Linked DNA regions of Tamandua tetradactyla. The protein of the gene in region 2 interacts with the protein of the main gene of each other region in a pairwise test. Links are inferred from orthologs where the notes say so. Each region holds a gene or a part of one and is shown on either strand. Other genes may lie near its edges.

Region 1 (7,293 bases), on a different chromosome or scaffold from region 2:
AAATGCTCATGCTTATAGAAGAAATAAAATTAAATAAAAATGAAAAAAAATAGTGTGGCATAAATACAGACAAATAGATCAAAGGAACAGAATTGAAATTCCAGAATAAGAGCCACACATCTATGGCCAATTGATTTTTTTTTTTTTTTTTGCATGGGCAGAAACCAGGAATTGAACCCGGGTCTCTGGCATGGCAGGTGAGAACGCTGCCTTCTGAGCCACTGTGGCCCACCCTACGGGCAATTGATTTTGACAAGAGTGCTAATTACATGCAATGGGGAAACATTAGTCTTTAACAAATGATGTTGAGAAAACTAGATATCCACATGCAGAAAATGAAGTTAGACCCCTCTCTCACACCATATAATTAAAAAAATCAACTCAAAATGGATCAGGAACCTAAATATAAAAGCTAAAGCTGTAAAATTCTTAGAAGGTAACATAGCAAATTTTCATGACCTGGGATTCACTGATAGATTTTAGATATGACACCAAAAGCATGAGCAACAAAAGAAATAATAGATAAATTTAATGTTATCAAATTTAAAACTTTTCTGTACACAGGAAGTTATCAAGAAAATAGAAAGACAACTCACAGAATGGGAGCAAATAGTTTCAATCCACATATTGGATAAGGGCTTAATATCCAGAATATATAAAGAACTTTTATAATGCTACAACAAAAAGACAAACAACTCACTTACAAAAATGGGCAAAGGACTTGAATAGACATTTCTCCAAAGATATACAAATGTCCAATAAATACATGAAAGGATGCTTAACATCAACAGACATTAGGGAAATGTAAATCAAAACCATGAGATACCACGTTACACTTATAGGAATGGCTATTATTTAAAGAAATGGAAAATAAGTGTTGGAGAGAATGCAGAGAAATCGAAACTCTAGTGCATTGTTGGTGAGAATGTAAAGTGGTGCACCCACTGTGGAAAGCAGAATAAAGTTTCCTCAAACAGTTAAATATAAAATTATATTTTATTGGCCACTGTAAGTGGCAATTCCACTTCTAGTTATATACTCAAAGAGAGTGAAGGCAGGAGTCTCAAGGAGATACTTGTACATCAGTGTTTATAGCAGCATTATTCACAATAGCCAAAAGTTGGAAAAAACCCCCGAGTCCTTCAACAAATGAAAGGATAAACAAAATGTATTACACATATGCAATGGAATATTATTTGGCCGTAAGAATGAAGTTTTGAGACATGCTGCAACAGAGGATAATCTTAAAAACATTTTGCTCCGTGCCTGCTCATGTAAAAAAAATATATATGTTTTTGCTCCATAAAATAAGCATTGTCCATAAGGACAAAAATTATACGATATTATTTGTGGGCGATGACTAGGTATAGCAAATTTGCAGCCATAGAAATCACATTAGAGGTTAACAGCAGATGAAGGGTGGGAGGAAGACAAAGTGTTTGGTTGTAGAAATAAATAATAAAATTTAAAAATATGCTAGAGTGTTATGCACTTTCTATTGGTAATCTTGATTTTTAAAAAAAATGCTGCCTAATTTTAAAAGAATATTTCTATGAACATTCCTGTACCTGTTTTTTGAGTGCATATGTATACACATCTGTTGGGTATATATAGTTAGGAGTAGAATTATTCAGTTGTAGGATATGTATGAATCCTGGCTTTGCTGTATGACCTTGGGCAAGGACCCACAACCTCTTGAGAACAGTCTCCTTACTGTACCAAGTAGCTAATCTCACCTTGATGGGAAAACTGCTTTTGTTAATGAACAAAGGAGCAAAGTACTGAGAAACTTATCCTTTAAAATAATAGATTTTCAGAAAATATGCTGATTGAAATATATTAGTAGAAGTGGAACATTTCACTCTACTCTGGAGGATCTGAGTTACTTTGACACTGAATAGCAATTTCCATTTTCCAACCCAGGTGCAGAGCTTCAGATAAGGGGTTTCCATATACAACATTCGTCATTTATCGTCACATTGTGGTTTCCAGGGAGACAGGATCCTGAATCTCCTGGTTAGTCGGACCTGATGTTAATCTCTTTGCATATAACCTGGTGTGCTTTGAGGCTGTCAAAACATCACTTCTTTTAAATTTTACCTTCACTCCATCTTTTCCCTAAGACCTAGAATAACTCTATCAAGATGCCTGAAGATTCCTCTTGGGTAAAGTCTTCCTTGTAACAGCAAGTTAGTATGCCTAACTTTGTTAGAGCACAGGTAGTCTTTTTTTAAGGTGGGCTTTATCTTGGGGATTACCAGTAATGTGCGCAGAACGTGTGTACACTGCTTAACACCTGATTAGGCATTTATGAAATGGTAAGGTTAGTTTTTATTATTCATTTATGAGTTCAATAAATGTTTATTTGGCATCTAGTATTTGCAAAGCAAAAGTTCACTGCTATAGAGCTGCACAGATGGAAAACCACTTTTATTTTAGACGGAGGAAGAAAATAACAGCAACAACTATATCTTCAATTCCTAGGAGATAAGTAGCTGTACTGAATTTCACTATAAGTAGTGTCAAAACATCCTCAAGACAGTTTTTTGGGTAAAAAGTACAATATGCATGATTTATTACAAGTTTTGACATAAAACTATGGATTCTAAGAACAGTAGTTTTAAAAACCAGTATGAGAACCCCCAGTATCACTGTCTCCTATACAGAAAGAGATGCTGGAAAAAAAAAAAAAAGGAGATAGACTTGTTTACAAAAGCTCTAAGGCTGAATGCAGGCTTATTCACCCATTTGGGGACCCCTCCCAAGATGTAAACAGGCAAACAGCTTCCTCTCTTTGCCGTTTTCCAGAGACTGTAAGGCATGCTTGGGGGTGGAGGGTGGGGGAGTGAAGAACACAGGAAAAAATGCCTATTTCCCTTCACTTCTCTCTATCTTGATCTCCTCCCAAACCCAAATCCTACTGCTGTCTTTCCCTTCATCGTTTGCTCACACAATGCAGCCTTCTGTAGGAATATTGAGGCTGCATACTCCAAATTACTTAAGGAAATGACTTTAAATTTTGGGAGTCTATTTCCCCAAGAAATCCCGGTTTGGAATACATGAAGAGGCTACTTGGGAGGGATTAGATGGAGAATGAATTTGGGAATACGGGGTTGAATTTTAGGGAAATAGAGAGATGATGACGGAGTCAACATAGTGTATGAGTTTTGTAGTCAAATCTCATTAAAGCGAATTAACCTCTATGGCCTTATTTTTTCCTCGTCTGTAAAACGGAAAAAAATAAAGCTTACTTTGCAGAGTTACTTCAGCTTTAAAAAATTGACCGTCTATTATTTATTCAAAATAATTTTTTTCTTTGAATGAGGATTTACAAATTTATATATTCTTTCCTATGGAAAAAAAACACACAAAAAATGAACAAGTAAGCAGGTAAGGAAGAACTTTTAGATGAAAGCCTGACAAGATCTAGGAAAATGGAGGACAGTACTGTCTGCCTACTTACAAAAAGCAAATGAATGCTCAGTGCTTTTCAGAGATTTCAAGCAGGAGATATTACACTTAACTGATATCCCCTAATCTACAGCACTCAAATGGCAAACCAAATCCTTCAGTAGCCAAGAATACCAAGATGACTGGAATATTCAAATGCAACGTATCCAGTTCTTCAAAATGGTCCATGGTGCAATGCTTATATCAGACCTCCAGAGAAACAGTGTCTTTTGTTGCAAGTTTCCCAGCAAGTTCTATATGGATAGAACATCGATCCTTACTGTGAAAGAGCTTGTAAACAAGTGAATTTAGGATTCACACAACACTAGGTGCTCAAAAATATTAAGACAAAACAAAATAAATAAATAAAATTAAAAAAAATATTTAAAATTAGAAAAGGGGTGGAGGGAGAAATGAAACTGGTTGTAGGCTCCGCAAATACTACTAGAGCCCCTAAAGGATGGAAATAGAGAAAGGAATTTCAGGAGTTTGGTTTAGGATATGAGTTTAAGGTTAAGGATATGAGTTTCGAGGTTGTCAAATTCTCCTAGACTCGGGCCTGACTTCTCAGAATAGATCAGAATGGGAAGTAATGGCTGAGATCATCTGGTATAATTTTATGCAAATAGTAAATTCTTGCCTCCTGTCACTGTGCCCCGCCACTGACGTACCCAATTTGAGTCCCAATTATGTGACATCATCGCCCCGCCCCGCATCCCCAAACCTCTGTGTGTCGGGTCTCTAAGCTACAGCCCCAGGCACTCTTCCAGCGACGCATGCGCACTGCGTGAGGGCGGGGGCTAATGCGCGCGCAGCCTCAGCTCTTTCCCTGCCCTTCTCTTCCCGGTTTCCCGGTCGGCCTGCGGGTCCAGTCTGACGGCTGCTTCCGGTCGGAGCTCAGTGCCCGGCCCGCGGGTGTCAACTCCTCGTCATGTCCTACGGCCCTTTAGACATGTACCGGAACCCGGGGCCCTCGGGGCCCCAGCTCCGGGACTTCAACAGCATCATCCAGACGTGCAGCGGCAACATCCAGCGGATCAGCCAAGCCAGTGAGCCGGAGGGACCGGGCTGGGGGGCGGGCGCCGTCCCGGGGACAGGCCTGGATGAGGCCGCCGGGACGCGGAGCCTGGTTCGGGCTTCAGCGAAGGCCACGCCTGAGGCCGTCAGGCTCTCCACTCTTGGGGCGTTGAGCTGCCATCCCCTAGTATGTCAGGTCCTGGCTCCTGGAGGGTTCCGAACCCCAGCTGAAGCTCGAGGTTCTTTTCAGGAGTTCAGCTATTACGGTTTTGGGGCCGAAACTGCAGACTTGACAGCCGGAGGCTGAGGGGATGCCACCTCGAGAGCAGTGTGGTGTTGGCTTGGCATTAGTAGTCAGCCGAGTTTTTCCTGTCACCCGTCTTCCACCCACCCTCATCCCTTCCCTCTTTGGCCAGTTTGGATAGGGGGTTGTTTACTGATTTAGGCTTTACATTGACATTCTTCTCGGCCTCTGATTCCTCCTAAATTAGCAGTTTTCAGTGAAAGGAAGTACGGAGTGCGTGTATTTGGATGACTTTATAAACAGTTCTTTCTGTAATGAATATGGGAACCAGATACAATGACTGTGTTTTAGGTATGGGATGACTTCTGTTTTAATAAAGAGAATTCATTGAAAACATCTCAGTTTACATTATTTTGTCTTTTGTGTAGCAAAGGATTTATGTATGTTTTTGGATTACAAGTGGGATGAGACTTTAGTTTCCTTCCATATTGAGCTACTCTTTCCAACAATTCTGATGCACGGAGAGGCTCAGGGATCTGACCACAATCACACACTAAGACCTGGTAGAGTTGGTGGCAGAATTCAGAATGTCCCCAAATCCCCTCCCCACCATCAGTGGCTAGTGAGACTAGCATAAGTCTGAATTCAGAGCCTTGTAAACAGGTGGTGAGCAGCAGCAACTTTACTTGGAAAGAATGGTGATTATCATCATTGTTGTTTAGTATTGTGTATTTGTGAGTTTTGCTATGTGCTGTTAATAGAACTACTGGGTCCTGAATTCAATTATGTCCTGTATTTTAAAGGATAAACTGTCACTTTGCTTTTAAATTTAAATGTGTAATGAAAATTTGAGAGGCAGAAAGTTTCTGATGGGAAGGAATTGAGATTGAGTGATGTGGAAGTAGAGAAACGTGTATGGTCCGTTAAATCCAGAAATAAAAATAAATTAACATGACCAGTGGATAGAAAGGATACTACTTTGTGCTTCAGTTTCCTTTTGTGAGGGAGATGAAATACTGGTTAGATCAGAAAATTCTGGTTGAAGGCTGAAAGCTTCTTGTTGAGGTTAAATCTAATTTTTGTGTTTGTTTGTTTGTGAAGTATTCATTCAAGATGTTATTTGTTTACCTGGATATGGAGTAAGTATAGGAACTGGCACAGATTCTTTTGTCAGCAGGCCTTTGAAATACATAAATAACCTGAATATAAATAAAGTCAAAAGGGATCAGTGCTATAGAAGACACACATATGACATTATCTGGGTATTCAGGGAAGAGAGGGGACATTTCCATTTGGGGAGGTATCAGAGAAAGATTATAGTATTCTAGCTAAATCTAGAAAGATGATGATAGAAAGAAATTGGACTTTTGAAGGTAAAGAGGAGAAGAGCATTCCAGGAGGAGAGAATAAAATGAGCAGTCTCGGTAGTAGAAAAGCATGGGGTGTATATGGGAAAGTAGAGTAATTCGGTTTGGCTAGAGTGATGGATTCAGGAAAACAGTAGAAAATAGGGTTGGGAAGGTAAGTTGGCACCACACATGAAGGGCTTTAAGTGTTGGGCCAAGGGGCTTAGAATTAATTATTTAGGAATGTGTAAATTAAATTGGAAGGAAGAGAGACTGGACTCAGCTATCAGGGACTGTGAGAACGAAAAGGAAGGAAAGGATAGGAGAGGTTTGCTTGGAGATAGAACTAATAAGACTTAGCTGTTGATTTGATATTGGGCCCAAGGGGATCATTGAAGTCAACTACTAATAGCATTAATAGCTAACATTTATTGAGTACATACTGTGTGCCAGGCAGTATGAAAAGTGCTTTCCATGCATTGTCTTAATTAAATTTATGACAATCCTGTGCAGTAGGTACCGATATTGTTTTCATTTTATGGAAATGGGCTGAGAGTAGTTAAATACTGCTCAGCTAATATATGGCAAGCCAAATTGGAATAGGTCTGTCTCTTGTGAACATCAGCCTTTTTATAATTTTTAAAATCAATTATTACAGTTCTGTAGTGGTTAACACGTCAACTATACAGGTGACTTGTTTTTTCACCCCATAGAGGAAACTATGGGGAATACCTGAACCTGTGACGCTCTCTTCCTTCTCTTCTTGAGGTGTGGTCTGTCTCCCCTGCTAGATTGTTAGCTCCTTTGAGGTAGGGGACATGACTTCTCATCTTTGTATTTCTAGAATTTATCTTAGTCCCAAGCATATAGTAGATTGGAGCATTCATGTAGCAAGCGTTCTTTGAGCATCTACTATATGCCAAGCATTGTTCTAGGTGCCTGGGCAAGAGGATGAAAAGGACAGTCAAAACCCCTGCTCTGATAGAGTGTGTGTATGGACATACATATATATAGGCAAAATGATATCAATAATAAATTGTATTAGTTAGGGTTCTCTAGAGAAACAGAATCAACAGGGAATGCCTGCAAATAAAAAATTTATAAAAGTGTCTCACTTGACTGCAGGAACGCAGAGTCCGAAATCCGCAGGGCAGGCTGTGAAGCCTAGGACTCCAATGGAGGCTTGCCAGCCAAAGCAGGAAGAGAACCTGTCTCTTCTGAATCCTCCTTAAAAGG
Region 2 (7,981 bases):
TCAGACCGTCCCCCCCGGCATCCTCCCCTCCACCCCCACTGTAGCATCTGGTTGGAACCATCCCAGCTCTCACCTTGATAAGTACTTCCCATCCGCCTGACTGGCTTCTCCAACTCCCATCTCTCCTTCTGGTCTACCCCAGGTACCAGTGTCTTCCACACTATCCCTGGGCACCAGAATAAAGTTCGAAGTCCTTAGGATGACATTCAAAGCCCATCACAATCTGGTCCCTCCCTCCCTGCCCACAGCACTTTCCAGTGCGCTTCCTTTCAGAACCCTCATTCATCCACACCTCCTCCTCTCCAGTCTCTCTAAGACAGTTTAAGTTATAATTTGCCATCCCTCATATACACCTGGTGTTTCCCCACACCCACGCCTCTGCTCTACCCAGAATTCCCCTCACTTGACCACCCATTCTCAACTCACCCATTCTTTCAAGGCCCAATTAAACAGCACTTCCTTGCTGGGCACAACAGAAAGTAAACCTAGTTCTCTCCTTGCTGGGCACAACAGAAAGTAAACCTAGTTCTCTATGTCCATTTTCTCTCTTCAATTGGACCACAAGAACCTGAGGGCCCTGACGCCTCTCTCCCTTCTACCAAAAGCTGACATGGCATAAAGAGACAGTCAATAAGACAGGGGGAAATATGGAGAAATGAATCAGGCAGCTTAAAAGCTAAGAGAATAATCCAGTCTAACCCATTCTATTAATTTTCAGGTGATGTCGCTTCAAAAACACTCCTTGTGGGCGGGCCACAGTGGCTCAGCAGGTAAGAGTGCTTGCCTGCCATGCCCGAGGACCCAGGTTCAATTCCCGGTGCCTGCCCATGTAAAAAAAAATTAAAAATTAAAAAAAAATAAAACAAAAAACACTCCTTGTGGAATTCTTCTGTTCAAAATCCTTCAGCTCCCCAGTGCCTTGAATGGCCACAAACCATCCACATTATCCCTCTGCTACCTCGCCAGCTTCCTCTACCCTACACCTTCCTGTTGCTGCTCCAGCCACACTGAACTACTTACAGCAGCCCATACACACCGTGTTGCTTCATGATTTTGCATTTGCTGAATCTTCTACCAGGCTACTAACCCATCCCTTCTAAATCCTCCTCCCCCTTCAACAACTCCACTCTCACCCGCTACAGAGAATCCCTCCCACCACACCCCACGTGTATCACACTTGCAACACCTTATCACTAACTGCTGTTTGTCTGTCGTGTCCACCAAACAATGAGCTCCCAGAAAGCAGAGATCTGTACTCCTATCACTGTCTCCCCAGCACTGCGCACAAGCCTGACACAAAGGAGGCACCCAGTAAAGGTTAATGTGACAAAAGAAATAAAACTTCCAGTGTGAAAGCAGAAATCATGACTTGTGACCTTTATCCTAAAAGGCACGTCTTAAAGTGGAAACCGTGTGGAAAGCATTTCTAAGACTGGTTAACCAGAAGAAGCTGCTGGCAAAAAGCCACTTTAATTTATTTGAGACAGTTGCTAATCAACAATCAATTTCCAGCACTCTCTCTCCAATGATGGAGACCTCATTCCACCTTCCCCAGACCCCACCTTCTCTACTGAAAACCAGATTGGGAAGGCAACAAAGTAGAGTCCCCGTGGCTCTCACCTTTTTTTCTGCTGGAGAGCTGGCACAAACTGTCCCTTCTTGATGGAGTCACCAGATCCTTAAGAGGAATGACTTGTTTGAGTTCCCATCTTGATACAAAATGTAAACAACAAAAACTGGGCAAATCTGAAAGGCTTGCTGACTCAGCAACACAAATTCCAAGGCACCTTTGCCAACAAGGAAGAAGATGATCAGGTTTAAAATTGAGAAACAGCAGTTAGTGAAATCAGATTCACAGATGTTGGAGACATGTGCTGCAGCTGGAGGGCTGGAAACCACCAAATTTATTTCCCAATCAGCCTGGACGGAGCAGAAGGTACAATAGGCTCTCTCCTTCCAACAGTCAAGGGGGTAGTTAAAAACAAACAAAACACACGCACACAACTTCATTCCTGAGACATTTCATAGTAAGGCCTAAAAGGACTTCATAAGCCACTCGGCAGGGTAGGTATCTAAAACACCCACACGGCACCGAGGGGAAAAGTCTGGCCAAGGTCACACAGCAAACTGAACAAGAGCTCTAGCTACCCTGACTTTGGCTACCAGGAATTCTTACCTTCTAGAACTACCTTTTAGAGAGGCTAGGATAGCATGCCTTTCTCAAGGGTCCAGGCGTCTGTTATACACGCCCTAATTCCACTGCTGTTAGCACTAAGGGAAGTGGAACCACCGTGGAGGACAGGAGCTGACTGGGAAAGGCAGATGAAAGGGGCGCTCCCGAGAAAGGAAGTCTTTTAAATCCTCTTCAAGCATACATTAGGCACCACCCAAAAGTGACCCGGGGCCCCAGCAAAACAGAAGCTTCCCAGAAAGCGGACCTCACTTGAGGAAAACAGAACCAGGAGGCAAACTCCTCCAAAGCGCAGCTCCGGGCCCCAGGTACTCCCTCCCCTGGTGGGAGGCCCCAGCAGCACCCACACCCTAACCAGGTCGCCCGGGGGCAAGACCGCCACCAACTCTTCGAGGTCCCGGGGGAAAAGGGATCCACGACTCCCGACCGACCCAAGCTTCCCGCTCCCCTGCTAGCTCGGCTTCCACCCAGGAGCCCACCCTCCCACCCAGCACCTCCCAATTCCCCCACTTCCACCTCCAGGACCCCAGGCCCGGAAGACAATCCTCTCAGTCCCCACGGACTCACCCCCGGCCCAGCCCTCCCTCAGTCCCACGCCCGCCCCTCTTCCGGCCTCGGCTCGGTCTCCTCCAGCCCCGGCGACGAGTAAGCGGCCTGCCCTCCCCTCTCACCGAGGCTGAGGCGGGCGGAGGGCGGGCTGAGAGCGCCGCTACGCTAGGACGGCAGCTCCGGCTCAGCTGGGGTAGAGCTCGGGCTGTGACTCCGACTCCAAGGAGGCGGTAGCCAGACTGAAACTCGGCGTCGTAGCTTCCGAGCGCTCCGGTGCGCATGCCCGGGACGCGCAGCCTTTTGGGAAATGTAGTTCCGGCAGGGCAGCCGGGGGGCGGGGCTTCCGGGGGTGGGGCGGGACTGAGCCCAAGCCTCACCTGTTCAGGTGTATCTGTTCTTTCGCCTGTTCGCTCGTTGCCTCACTCCTTCATTAATTCACCGTCTCATCTTTAAATTTTTTCGCGGTACTGCATGATTCCAGGACATCTGCTGGATACTGGGGATTAAAAATTGTACCAGAAACTTTGTTTCCCTCCTGGGAGACTCTGGGCTGGAAGAGTTCTGGAACCAGGTTCTGGGAAGAGGAGGGACTTCCAAACCCAGAGATCTGAGGGAGCTGGAACTCTGGGGGAGGCTTGGTAGGACCCTCCGGTTCTGGCTGGGGAGACCGAGAAGCTCCCCAACTTCCACTGAGGCAGGAAGTAGAACTTACATGGATGTCTTGGTGGAGAGGGGCAGGAGATAGAGAACACAAGAAAAGAAGCAGCTCTGGGGAATCAAGTCTGGGGTCTGGGGAGAGCCAGGTGTGGAGCTTAGGAGAGACCTGTTCTGCAGATAAGGATTTCTTGAGTCCCAGGCAATGTGAGATGTAGAGGGTGATAAAAGGTACATCCAGGGCAAGGCTGAGGAATGCTGACTTTTGAAGATCAGGGAAGGAGCTGGAGGGCTTGGGGAAGGAAGCCGGGGCGCTGCTGGACCAGGAGCTGTGGATTTAAAGGAAGCCAGGGGGAGTGTCTCTATGGAATTAGTTCTGTGTGCCAGACAAAACTCAGGGCTCCTACCTCCCAGCCCAGTTTTCTTCCCATCTCCGCCACCTGACTTCAAGAAAGATCCCATCTCTTTTTTTTTTCTTTTCTTTCTATTATTGTTTTAATTCTTATTCTGTTGTCTTTTTATTTCTTTTTCTAAATCGATGCAAATGTACTAAGAAATGATGAATATGCAACTATGTGATGTTATTAAGAATTACTGATTGTACATGTAGATTGGAATGATTTCTAATTGTTTTGTTAATTCTTTTTTTAATTAATTAAAAAAAAAAAAAGAAAGAAAGATCCCAAACTTCGGATTTAATTACAGGGAGGCTATCAGCAGCCAAAGAACCCTTTCCATCGAGAAGGAGGAGCTCAAGGAGCTAGATGTCTGTGGGTTGTGAAGTTTAGGAATGGAATCTAGGAGGGTAGATGGCTCTTCCAAGACAAATCCTTGTATTCACAGTGTATTGTGGAGAATGTGTGGTGGGGTCACAAATGACCGGCACACGTGCGGTTTACATAAGGTTTTCCATAGTGCTGTGTGTGCAGAGGGGACCTGGAAGGACATATGCAACCCTGTCACATCCGAGAGGCAGACGGCAGGTGATTTTTGCTTTGTTTTTTTTTTTCTGTGTCAAGTAAGTGTGTCGCAATGAATGGGCTCCGTTTTTATAACCTGAAAAGAAAAACTATTTTTATTGAGGAACAAATAGAGAGTTCTGGTTGCAAAAAGAAGCAAAATAGGGCAGCAGCAAAAGGGAGAACGGGAGACAGATGTGGACTTTCATTTTTTGGCCAGGTGAATGCTGAGTGCATTAGGTTTTGAGGTGGCAGCAGGAAGTCCCTCGGAACTGGGAAACTTGAGAACCGAACTTTAAGCCAATGAACATTGCAAAAGACCAAAAACAACTTAAATGCCCAGCAGGACGGGCTGGTTAAATAGCTCTGGAACAGTAGGTAACTCTTAGAAAGAATGAAGAAGACTTGCCAGTGCCCTGTTGGGGGACTGGCCACCCAGATCCATTGTTAAGTTAAAAAAAAGGAACTTTCAGAAGTGTGGGTAGAGTAGAATGGGCATCTACTTGTATTTAAAAAAAAAAACAAAAAGTCATGCACAAGCTTGTAGGCCTAGAAGTTTCTGTAAGCAGACCTAAAAAAACCCCCAGGAGAAGTTGGGGATAGCCTGAGGACTTATTTTTGTTTTTTTAATTTACTGTGTACTCACGCTATTTTTTTTTTTTCTATTAGAAAATGTTGAGCTTGCCATCGAACATAATAAGAATGGTTAGGGATGCCTTGCAGAAAAGCGAGCAGCAATGGGTAAGTGAGCAGAAATGTTCCTGGCTGGGGCTCTTCTTCCTAAATTGTCTGCCCGGAAGTGGACCCAAAGGCTCAGGTGTGAGCCACCTGCAGGCCTGCATGTGCCCTCAAGCAACTGAGAATGAACTACGTGGCCCCAGAAAGGATGGAGCTTTTGGCCACGGAATGGGGAGTGGTGGGGGCTAGAGGCCGAGATTTAAACAACAAACAAAACGACACACAACAGCTCAAGCTTCACTCCAAGTGGCAGAGTTGTCTGCCTTCCTAGGACCCCCGGCTCAATCTCCCGGGATCAAGAAAAAAAAATCAACACAAACCTGAGAAAAGGTGAGACCCCAGGGCGCAGCATCGCTAAGGGGCTTGAGCATTTTCTGCTGTTTTGCTTGGAAAGGCGGAATTTTGTCACTCGGTGCCTCGGCTAATTGGCCTCCATCTGACACTCTGGAGAGAGGGATTGTATCTGATTAGAAGCCACGGCTGCCTGGCTCATTATTTCTGATTAATGGACAGCACCTGGCATCTCCGGGCCGTGGGCCCAGGTGTGACACACACAGCCAACAAAGGCGAGGTGGCTTTATAGCCCTGAGGAGTGACGTGGTCTTCCCTAAAAGCCTTGTTTTATGTAAGTCCCGGCCCCTGGGGACACGTTCTTGCTCGTTGCCTAGCTGTCAGCCCGAAGTAACCGCCATGTGCTCAAGGTCAATTCAACCGAGAAGTTGGTTTTAGCATTAGGCAACCACACTCTACCCTGTCCCCACCCACCAGTTATTGTTCACCCCATAAATTAACACTCCAGCATCCTGGCTGGGGATTGAGGAGTTGCCTCAGAACGAGGCTCTGCTGTGGTGTGTACACAAGGCAGGCAAGACCATTTGGGAGGCCAGTGCTACTTTTCTGATGATACCCAAACTCTTCTCCCCAAAGCTTCCATTAGTCCTTAGGAGCTGCTTAGAATCCACAGCTAAAGAAATCTAATCAATCTATCACCTGGCCGGGGAAATTGCAAAAGGCTTTGAAATGGACAAAAAGACTCCTGGGTGCTGATTTCATTGTCTTCCACGGAGCTATTTTACAACTCAGTGTGCTGGAGAAAACTGAGAGCAATGCAAATGACTCGTGTCCATAGAGATGCAATTGATTTCCGTGCTGCGGAAGAGGCTATTTTTGCATCTATCAGCAAATTCGGTTCAGCATTCAGCCCTCCTGCTGTGCCTGATATGGCCTCTAGATGTGCTTTTCTTTGGAGTCACCTTTAAACCAGTTTTTTACGTGCCTCAATTCATAAGTTAAACAAAAACTTTGATTTTCATTTTATATTTGTATGAAAGTCATAATTTTACTTTCTTCTTATTATTATTTCCTTTAACACACCTCACCTCCTTTCTTTTCCTGGCTACCAGGAAGCACAAAATCGACTTTAAAAGTGCTGATTCCCCAACAGTTGCCCGGGCTAGCCTAGGAAGCTGCTCCAAACCCTTTGGAGAGAGGCTGTGAGTAGACAGAGGTGACGCCAACCCTCAGCCGCAGAGCCCCACCGGGAGGCAGGGAGCCAGGCAGACGCCCCTGTGCGGCCGCCCAGCTGCACTGGGACCAGCTCCCGCGCTGAGCTGAGGCCCATCTGGAATCGGCCGGAGCTGACAGGGTCACGTCCTAGACTCACTTCCTCCCCACGCCACGCATAGCCGCTTCCGCTTTCTGCAGAGGACAGCAGAAGTTGACAGATGAGTTCCCAGGATGTCGCAACATACAGGAACTTGAAGCCAAGTAACGGATGGGTGTTGGATGCAGGGACGGACACAGGGTGTCCTGGGGTCAGCATTAGCTTATAGAACAGCTCCAACTGGCCACATGCCTCAGACCAAATAGCTCGTTCAGGCCGAGTCTCGTTTATTCCTCTCTCCAATCCCGCCAGAAATGACTCTCCTGTCTGCAGGGAGGTGGATGTGAAGGAGAGGCATCTCCTTGAGGAAGCAGGTTCGGCTGGGCGGGCTTTGAAGGCTGCCTGGAGCTCTTTACCAGGATCCTGCTGCTACCAGGGCGTTCCTCCTTTTACCCTTAAGCAGTCCTGTCGGCCCCATTTTGCAGATGGGGCGACCTGCTGAGCTTGCACCAGGTAGGAGCCAGGAGGCTGGACCCCAGGGGGCCTAGGGCCCCTTCCTGATTCCTCCCAGCCTCACCTACTCGGAGCCTTTGGTTTACCCTCAAGCAACCCAAACCCCATCCCTTACAAGAGATTGAGGCCCTCTCTTCTCCACCCCCACCCCCCAGTGTCACAGATCCTCCTTCTCTCTTTACCCATTTTGCCCAGCTGTCATCTCCTTTCTGGCCTTTTGAGGTTTTGCTCCGCCGCCACCACGTGGTAGGGAACTGGGACCCACAAATACATCCTCTGCCAGGGGCCAGGTGTGTCAGCCTGGCTGGATGAAACAATCTCCCAGTAGATACAGGGGCTGCTTCCCCTGTTGTCCCAAGCACACGTAACACTCACTGGAGAGTGTTTGCTGACACCCTGCCCCCCAGCCTGGTGGCATATCTGTCCCTGGTGGGGAAGCAGGGGGTTCCTCCACTTGGGGGTACACAGAGAGGGATGGTGCAGGTAGCACATCTCCCAGTATCAGCCATCGATTAAGGCCCCTGGCCACAGGGAACCAACCCCCACCAGTGAAGCTGACCTTGTGCTGTCTGTTTGGGGGTAAGATGTCAGAGCCTGTGGGAGTTGTGCTTTTCCCCGTTGACCCCGACACCTGTATTGGAAGAAGTTGCCACCTCTTTAATGTCTCTGAGTGACATTCCACTTTCAGAAAGCCCCACATCCCCACTTCAGGGCACACCATGACCTGCTCAGGTGGGCAGGATTCCTTCTCAATATTGCTCCCCTGGCCCAATG

What was found.
Region 1: the proteins of DTX2 (region 2) and STX12 interact in binary tests that used the Homo sapiens proteins (3 or more experiments, as listed by UniProt). The two-hybrid records come from large-scale screens. The link is inferred for Tamandua tetradactyla from reciprocal best matches to the Homo sapiens genes DTX2 and STX12.

What each region holds. Positions count from the first base shown.
Region 1 is NC_135328.1:198,555,035-198,562,327, reverse strand, and holds the start of STX12 (syntaxin-12), read left to right. Parts: upstream 1-4,228; 5' UTR 4,229-4,381; coding exon 4,382-4,499; intron 4,500-7,293. UniProt on the Homo sapiens protein: SNARE promoting fusion of transport vesicles with target membranes. Together with SNARE STX6, promotes movement of vesicles from endosomes to the cell membrane, and may therefore function in the endocytic recycling pathway.
Region 2 is NC_135349.1:10,302,285-10,310,265, forward strand, and holds the start of DTX2 (putative E3 ubiquitin-protein ligase DTX2), read right to left. Parts: upstream 3,023-7,981; 5' UTR 3,022-3,022; coding exon 2,863-3,021; intron 2,851-2,862; exon of another isoform or gene 2,759-2,850; intron 1,788-2,758; exon of another isoform or gene 1,679-1,787; coding exon 1,621-1,678; intron 167-1,620; exon of another isoform or gene 93-166; coding exon of another isoform or gene 74-92; intron 1-73. UniProt on the Homo sapiens protein: Regulator of Notch signaling, a signaling pathway involved in cell-cell communications that regulates a broad spectrum of cell-fate determinations.